Rattus norvegicus: one gene and its partner. The protein of the gene in region 2 interacts with the protein of the main gene of each other region in a pairwise test. Links are inferred from orthologs where the notes say so. Each region holds a gene or a part of one and is shown on either strand. Other genes may lie near its edges.

Region 1 (4,346 bases), on a different chromosome or scaffold from region 2:
CTGGCCCAGGTACCTTTGGAAGCCAGGATCCTCCGGGCACTGAGGATAATGAAGCCCGAAAGACAATCCTTTCCCCTGGTCCTCCTTAGAAGAGGAACAAAGATTTTTCACAACCTACAAATCTCAACTCTGTTTCCTTTCGAAATCAACCAGTATTTGCTTCTGGAAAGGTGAATTCCAGAAAAAAGTCAGATAGGAGGCAAAGAGAACAACTTTATGGGTTAAATATAATTTGGGGAGGCAGAATTGTGATATTTGAAGTCTTCATTGATCGAAATAAATTCTACCGTGTTTCTTTGCTGCTGTAAACTAAAGAAGGGTGTGTGTTACAGAGAGAGAGAGAGAGAGAGAGAGAGAGAGAGAGAGAGAGAGAGAAAGAGAGAGAGAGAGAGAGAGAGAGAGAGAGAGAGAGAGAGAGAGAGAGAGACTGACCTGCCCATTGTTGTTTGATGCTCCCTTGTTGTTGGTAAGTTTTAATTTTCCAAACGAGATTTCTTGCCGCATCCAGTGAGCCCCAGTGTTGGGGGAATCCGGATGCATATAGACCCGGTTTCCTTAATAAAGAAATAGCTTGTTTACATATGCTGCTCTGGGCACTGCCCAGTCCCAACTCCTTAATACACGAAACACTCACACACACACACACACACACACACACACACACACACACACACACACATACACACACACACACACCTCACTTCACAATGAAACCCATTACCTGTTTTTTTTTTTGGAGGGGGGCATACTTTCTTCTCTTAACTGGAGATTATTAAAATAGCTTTACTGTCCAGTCCCAACTCTGTACCACATATCACACACACACACACACACACACACACACACACACACACACACACACACCTTCACAGAGAGGACCATTAGCTGGGCTTCTTTTTTTTTTTTTTTTTTAAGCCGCGATTTCTTCCCATTAACTGGGAATGATTAAAATAGCTTTTGCATAATCCTCCCCTTTCTTGCCGCTCAGTCTGTCCCCTGTCCCTCTCTTCTTTAGGAAGTCATTGGCCGACCGTTTTAAAAAGTCGCTCGAGCCAGTCCACAAAAGGCTTTAATTAATCATTCTCACCTAAATAAGTGTCAAGAAAACGTGTTAATTGGAAGGACTTGCCTTGCACATTGGTGTCCGCTTTGCCACAAGGAACCCATTTGCCTCCTTGAAACCTCCAGTGATTGGGATCCGCCAAAATCACATCCACAAAAATATTGTAATGAGCGGTGGGATCGAGACCAGAAATGTTAAAACTCAAAAAGGGAAACATGCGCCTGTTTGAATTAAAAAGAGAGAGAAAGCAAGGGGGAAAAAAAGAAAATAAATGTTAAAGATTAAATGCTGCAAGAAGCGGGGCGCCAGAAAGCTAAGCAAAACTTGTCCTCGCCGCGTGTCTGAACGAATGTTTGCTGATCTAGAAAGGGAGAGTGGGAGAAGGGAAGATGTAGGACCGAAGTCGGGGAGAGCACCGAGCGCTCTGGAGTTGGGGGACGGATTGCTCGGTAGAGAGCCGGGTTGGCGGCCTGCTTCTCCACCTGTCGGCACAGGCCAGCTTCGATGAGTTGCTCTGAAAGCCTGTTAGCGGCCACGGCTCTTCGTCTTGCTCCAGCCACCGACTGGTTCTCCGACCGCATTGGCACAGCAGGCTCCCCGCCACCAAACATCACCACGGTGGTTATTATCCCTTCCACTTTCCCCTTTTCCAAAACCAGCCAACTCCAGGGCGCACCCGAGCGCCTTTCCACTCCGCTCCCCGACCCCACATAGTCGCTGCCCGGCGGTCACAACTTGGGTGCGTTCGCCCAGGGTCACGCCTGGAACAGCGGCAGCCAAGAAAAGTAGCATTACCTTCCCTGTTTAGTGATGATCATCTCCGTTTGATGCCGATGAAATTTCAGCCAAAGTGGCCTGTTGCACAGGTATACCTGCGCCTTGCCGGGCACCAACCCGGGCTGGGTGGAGGAGAACTGGTAGAATGGGGCTCCTTGGTAGGAGTGGCCGTACTGCTGTGGGTAGGGGTAGCCGGCGGTGGGGTAGCCCTGCGGCGAAGAGTTGGACAGCAGGCTGTTGTAAGCTCCGTTGGTGATGACCGGGTGGTGGGCCATGTAGCGACTGGGGCTGCCGATGGAGAAGGCGGGATGCGCCGGTCCGTGCTGGCCGGGGTACGGGAACATGGCACTGGGAGCGGTGGCCGCAGACTGTGGCTGGCTGGACTGAGAGAGGAGGTAACGATCTGCAGCAGAGCCATCGAAACTGTGACGAAGCTCAGAGACCCCGTCCAAGACAGGAGAGAGTTTACTTCTCTGGACGTCCCCTGGTGAGTCCTTGGAGTCAGGAAAATTGTCTGTATCTGACTGATTCGTCATCCCCCTGGTAATTTTTTTCAAAGGTGAACTTCTCTCCAGGTTGTCAGTGGTCGAGATAATGGGATGATCATGCAAGACAAGCTCAGATCCGCCCGAATGTGGGTAGCTGCTGCTCACATTGAGAAATTTCTTGGAGAGCATGATAGAAGGAGAGAGGCAATGCTCCAGCTGCATAGCTCTAGAACCTGAAGGCTGGCCCTCCCGTCCCTGGGTTTTAAAGTCCTGTTTATCATAAACTAGGAATCCACAGACCCCTCACTAGACAGAAAGCACTTCAACCAGCAAATGCTTCTCAAAGGTTTGATTTACTTTTTTTTTTCCCTGGGAGAAGAGATTGGCCAATTGACACTATGCAGCAATCAGAAAAGGCTCACTTTTGATCTTGCTGCTTATGCAGCCGATGAAACGGCTCCTGCCATTGGTTAGCTGCTGACAGTAATTTAATTAGATAGACATTAATTAGGATAATCACCTGGCTCCTGGTCGCGACGATCATGGCAAATTGAAGGGGATGATTTTATTGTTGGCTTGGGGGGTGGGGAAAGTGTGTTGGTTTACGTGAGCTCTGTTATGTCACCTTTAAGCTTTGTGACCACTGCTTTAGGAAGATTCAAAGATGTGCAATTTACTAAACATTTCCTAACCCCCCCCCCCTTCTCTCTTTAGAGAGGAGGGGTGGAGGAGGGAATTCGATGATGCTAGGAGACTTTTCGGATCTGAATGAGCCAAATATTCAGTTGAATGTAACGATTTCAAGTGCAAAGTATACAAAGCGCGAGCCGGTGGCCTCTTCTCGCCCTGTAAAACTTCCAGAGTCTGTCTTTTCCAGTTAATACGCAGAAGCATACACACCTGAGCCTGTGCTTTGTTGAGTCGGTGCTGCGTGTCCTTGACGCCCCCTCCCCCACTTTAAACTACACGAATAAATAAATAAATCAACAAACCTCCAGCCGCTGAAAGCCACAGCCTTAAGAGAGATAAGGAGGCGAAGCGGCTAGCCCACCCATCAACCCACCTCAGGAAGGTTCGGTTTCCGGCTAGGGTACAGAAACAGTGACAATCTATGATCTCCTTTTTAAGTTTTGAAATAATCATAAGCCGTGGCGCTGAAGTGCTTTAATGTATTTGCAGTCATGTTTACTGGGTCGTTACTAAATATTTTATCAGCCAACTTGGTTGCAGATCATCTGAAGAGCAGCTAGCTGGGGGCGGGCGCCATGTATCCTTTGAGTCCCACCGCACTTCCTCCTTTTTGGAGGCACTGGCTTGGTGACAGGTTCATAAGCCTCGCCAGGAAAAAAGAGAGAGGGCTGAGTCCCCAGCGCAAATGGGTTCGCTAGAAGCGTTGATCTGGGGAGACAGAGTGGAAGTGGTGTCAACGCGATGATCTTACTGGTGTGTGTGTGTGTGTGTGTGTGTGTGTGTGTGTGTGTGTGTGTGTGTGTGTGTGTAATGTTTACATAATCCAGAGGGAGAGAAAAAGAATCCATGCCAGTAATTTTTAAAAGAGGATTAGCGAAAAGAATCGATTTAAGGAAATTTTGGCACAAGTAACATGAGTCCCCAAGCAACTGAGTTTTAGGGAGAAAAGATCTCCTACTATCTGCTTCACGGAGGCCAGCGGCCAGCCTCAGGCCAAGAGCACCTGAGATGACAAACCCAGAGCTGCTGTCTAGACATGGCCAACCTGCTCCGTAGCTTTCCTTCCTGAAGGCAAGAGGCGCAGAAATGCAAAGCCAACCCCAGGCATAGCTCAGCTTGGCCTGCAAGGTGGTGGAGAGGCGGCGAGCTCGGGGGACTTAAGAGAGTGCCAGGCGACCTGTCTGGCTCAGGCTGGAGAGGCTCACACTCCACCCTTGCCTCAGGCAGGCGGGGCCTGGGAATCTATCTCCTCCAGCTGCTGCCTCTGCCTTTGAGATCGCAGACAGTAGCCCCGGCCAGAGCAGCAGAGTTCAAAGCTGGGTGGAATT
Region 2 (3,816 bases):
TTGCTCTATAATATCATTCTACATCATAGTCACTAAGATATATTATTGACTGATATTTTTACATATCTTAGTGTCTTGCATAAACTCTGAGGAAGCATCATGATATAATAGTCACCAGGGAAGATTTTACCAAGAAGCTGGTAGTTAAATATGGATCTGATGTGAGGGAATAAACCACAAAGTGGCCTAGAGGAAGAATGTTCTAGGGAGACAGTATAATTACTGCAGGAGTGTTGAGGTAATGATGTACCTGTTGTCCAAGGATCAGCAAGGAGGCCAGAATAAAAGAAACTGAGGCAAAGGAGACTAAGGATTAAACCAGCAATCTATCAGGAAACCCAGTTAGACAGTGGGTTAAGGAAGAATACTTCAGGAGAGAGGCCTAGATTTAGGACTCATCATGTACAGATACTTAAAGGCAGTCAAACTCAATGAGGTTTCCAACAAGTATAGAGTGAGCTGGGATGGAGACCAGTCAGTGGCATATCCATGTGATGTGGTGTAAGGAGGCGACACAAAATCTGTAGGACTGGAGAAGAAGCAGCCAGACTAGCAGAAGGGAAACAGAGGGTAGGTATCATGGGAGCCAGGGAAAGAAAGTTTCAGGAGATGGATGTCAAATGCTGTCAACAGATCAAGAAATTGTGACTTTGGAATTTGATCATTAGACTTAGCAATGTGAAGGTCAGCAGTGACTAGGCAAGAGTTGTTTTTCTTTTGAGTTTTGGAGGTTCTGGGTTGAAACTCAGGGTCTTGCACATGCTAGGCAAGGACTGTACTGAGGCATACCCATAGCTAATAAGAATTGTTTTAGTGGGATTGGTATGATTGAGATCCTGACAACATATGAGCTCAAGAGATAGGGTTGGGAAAGACTGGAGAAATGGGTACAAGATAATTCTTTTTAGTTTTGCAATTGAGAGGACCAAAGAATGGGGGCAGAAGCTGGAAGAATTTGTAGGGTCAAGAGAAGGCAGATGTTCATGCGTGAATGTGAATGCAAGCAATAAAAACAATCACATGTTAAATCCAAAAGATCCAGAAAACTGAGAATGTAGGAAAGAGGGAAGTGGCTGGAGCAATGTCATCTAGTCAGTGAAAGGGACAGATATATAGCATTAATAATAGGTAGCAGTAGGGTGAACTGAAATCTTGGCTCCAACAATAACAAGTTTTGTGACTCACAGCAAAATTCTGAACATCTCTTGAGGATGTTATGAAGCAAGAATTTCCTGGAATTACAGCACAATGCTTTAATGAAACAATACTATTTTCTGATATTTAAAAAACTTCTGAATGTGTCTCTCCCTTAAAATTGTAAGTCTACACTTAGTGCCTATTGGAACCCGGTGAAATCCTACAAAGTATATAGTCATATGTGACATAAAGATAATGTAAGATGAAATGGTTACTTTAGATGCTCCTTTCCGTCTTTGGTACATGTGTTGCTGGACAACAGCCTGCCTTAATTTGATTTTGTGTTCAGTCCAATACCATACACGTCCCAGAGAAGGTGGAAGACAGCAAACACAATGGACAAAACTGATGGCAAGGCTGAGAAAAGTGACAGGTCCCTCTTGGAGAATCCTTTAAGGCCAGTGTGGCTGGTGACCTGGGAGCAACGGTACCTTAAGCCATGGGTGATTCAGTGCTTCATAAACAGTGATCCTTTCAGCAGGATCCAGCATCAGCATGCGGCGCACTAGGTCTTTGGCACTTTCAGAGATATGGCTCCACTGCCTTGGATTCATCTGAGAAGGAAAGAAGGAAAGCTCTATGGTTACCTTCAAGAAGTCAACACTTAGTATTATACTATTTCAGTGTAATATTCTCAGGGCAAAGAACACAGATTAACAGACCTGTTTTCCCAAGGAAGAAGACACATGCAATGCTTTGTGGTTTTGTTCCTTATTATTTATATCAGGAATTTTTCTGTTGATATCGATATATTGTAATATTTTCAATATTTGAAAGGTCTGCTCATGATTCTGATTTCTAGTTTTTGATTCTCAGCTAAAAAGGCCAGAATATACTGATAAAGTACTGAAATAAATTTGAAGTGAAAAAAATTAAAGGACGATTCTTTTTTGGAGACAAGGTTTCCTTAAGCACAGGATGGACTAGAACTCACTGTGTAGCCAAGGTAGACCTTGAACCTCCAGTTGCTTCTACCCTAGCCTCTTAAGTGACGACGTTACAGGTCTCTGCCATCATTCCCAGCTAAAGAAACATTTGAAAACTACTGTCTTCCAACGTTAGGATCAGGTGTTGAGTGTGGTATGCACCAGTATAATCTTAGCACCTGAGACACTAAGGCAAGGGAATTCCTAGACAGGGTAAAAATTCCTAAAGGAAGAAAGAAACATACGCACAAGCCCTAAAACAAAACTGGGGCAATATTAATTGTGAGGCTATTAAAATCATTAATTGGATATTCTGACCGGGGTATTTCAATATCTAAGGAAAAATATTACTATCATCATAAAATAGCTAGTTTCACTTGTATACTGTACTCAGTGAAGCTCTCTGTTTTAGAGATGGGACGACTAATTCGTGTGGTAAAACTGAGTAAAAGTAAACAAAAAGAATTACACATTTTTCACGTCTCTTTGATAATGGCTATGGATGTTTGAGGGAAAGACCAGAAGGCTCCTGGAGAAAGGGTTATGTCTAAGGTCAGAAATGAGAAAAACACTCAGAGCTCGGAGCTGGGAAGGGAAGTGGGAACTGGAGGCAGTGGCAAAAGTGGAAGTTGCCTGATTGAATGACCATATGGGAGCTGCCTGGTGCCAGGAGCTTCATACAGTAGCCAGTTTTTTTTGTAACTGCTGCTGTTGTTTGTCAGTGTTGGAGACAGAACCGTGGTGCATGTGCTCTGCCAAGGAACTACATCTCTGGCTCAGTGTGCTGGCCTTAACCATTAGCGATCTATGTTACCTCTTAAGAGAAAATGATGAAGAATGAATATTATAATTTAAAGGCAAACAAAATCACAGTACTTGCATCCCAGCATAAAGGAATCATTCCAGTTCAGCTGAGGGCTGGCAACAGACACAGAGCTTTGGCTCAGGTGAGGCTTTGAACTTACAGATGGGGAGGGCAAAGCATCTGCATACTAGGGAGAGCTCTTACAGTTGGACAGTGTTCTACTTTCCTTTTCTGAGAGGCAAAATTACTACAGCAATCACTTCCATTTGTTGAATCCCATGAGGAAACTGGCATGGGACTGCTTAAATATTGTCATTTTATCAGAATTGTGGTCAGTGGACTTGTCTGAAATTCATGGTGGTGACTGATTAGGCATTACCTAGATAGATAAGCTCCCCTGTCTTTTTCCCCAACCTGTCACAAGCTAGTTATCTAGGAAGGGGGAGCTCAAGTGAGAAAACGCCTCCATCAGATTGGTCTGTAGGTAAGCCTGTGGGATTGTCTTGATTAATGATTGATGTGGGAGGGGAGGACCACAACTGGTCATCCTGGGTTGCATAAAAAACAATGCGGACTGACAAAGCCATGGGGCACAAGGCCATAATCAACATTCCTCCATGGCCTCTGCTTCACTCTCTGCCTCCAAGTCCCTGTCTTGGATTTCCCCAATTATGGACTGTAACCTGTAAGCCAAATAAACCCTTTCCTCCACAATTTGCTATTAGCCATGGTGTTATCACAGCAGTAGAAACCTGGTTAAAACACCCTTCTTCCCTATCCTGGGTCTCATGTGATTTCATCGAGCTTCCCTTTACACATGTCCAAGATCAGGATTTGACTGCTTCTTTTGATAAGTACTATCAGGGTATTGAGATGATTTTTTTGAGA

The links.
Region 1: the proteins of Cask (region 2) and Tbr1 interact in a two-hybrid assay, tested with the Homo sapiens proteins (2 studies listed by BioGRID and IntAct). The link is inferred for Rattus norvegicus from reciprocal best matches to the Homo sapiens genes CASK and TBR1.

Annotation. Positions count from the first base shown.
Region 1 is NC_086021.1:66,758,262-66,762,607, reverse strand, and holds the start of Tbr1 (T-box brain protein 1), read right to left. Parts: upstream 2,806-4,346; 5' UTR 2,551-2,805; coding exon 1,859-2,550; intron 1,285-1,858; coding exon 1,130-1,284; intron 555-1,129; coding exon 433-554; intron 1-432. UniProt on the Homo sapiens protein: Transcriptional repressor involved in multiple aspects of cortical development, including neuronal migration, laminar and areal identity, and axonal projection.
Region 2 is NC_086039.1:11,802,622-11,806,437, reverse strand, and holds part of Cask (peripheral plasma membrane protein CASK), read right to left. Parts: intron 1,752-3,816; coding exon 1,629-1,751; intron 1-1,628. UniProt on the Homo sapiens protein: Multidomain scaffolding Mg(2+)-independent protein kinase that catalyzes the phosphotransfer from ATP to proteins such as NRXN1, and plays a role in synaptic transmembrane protein anchoring and ion channel trafficking.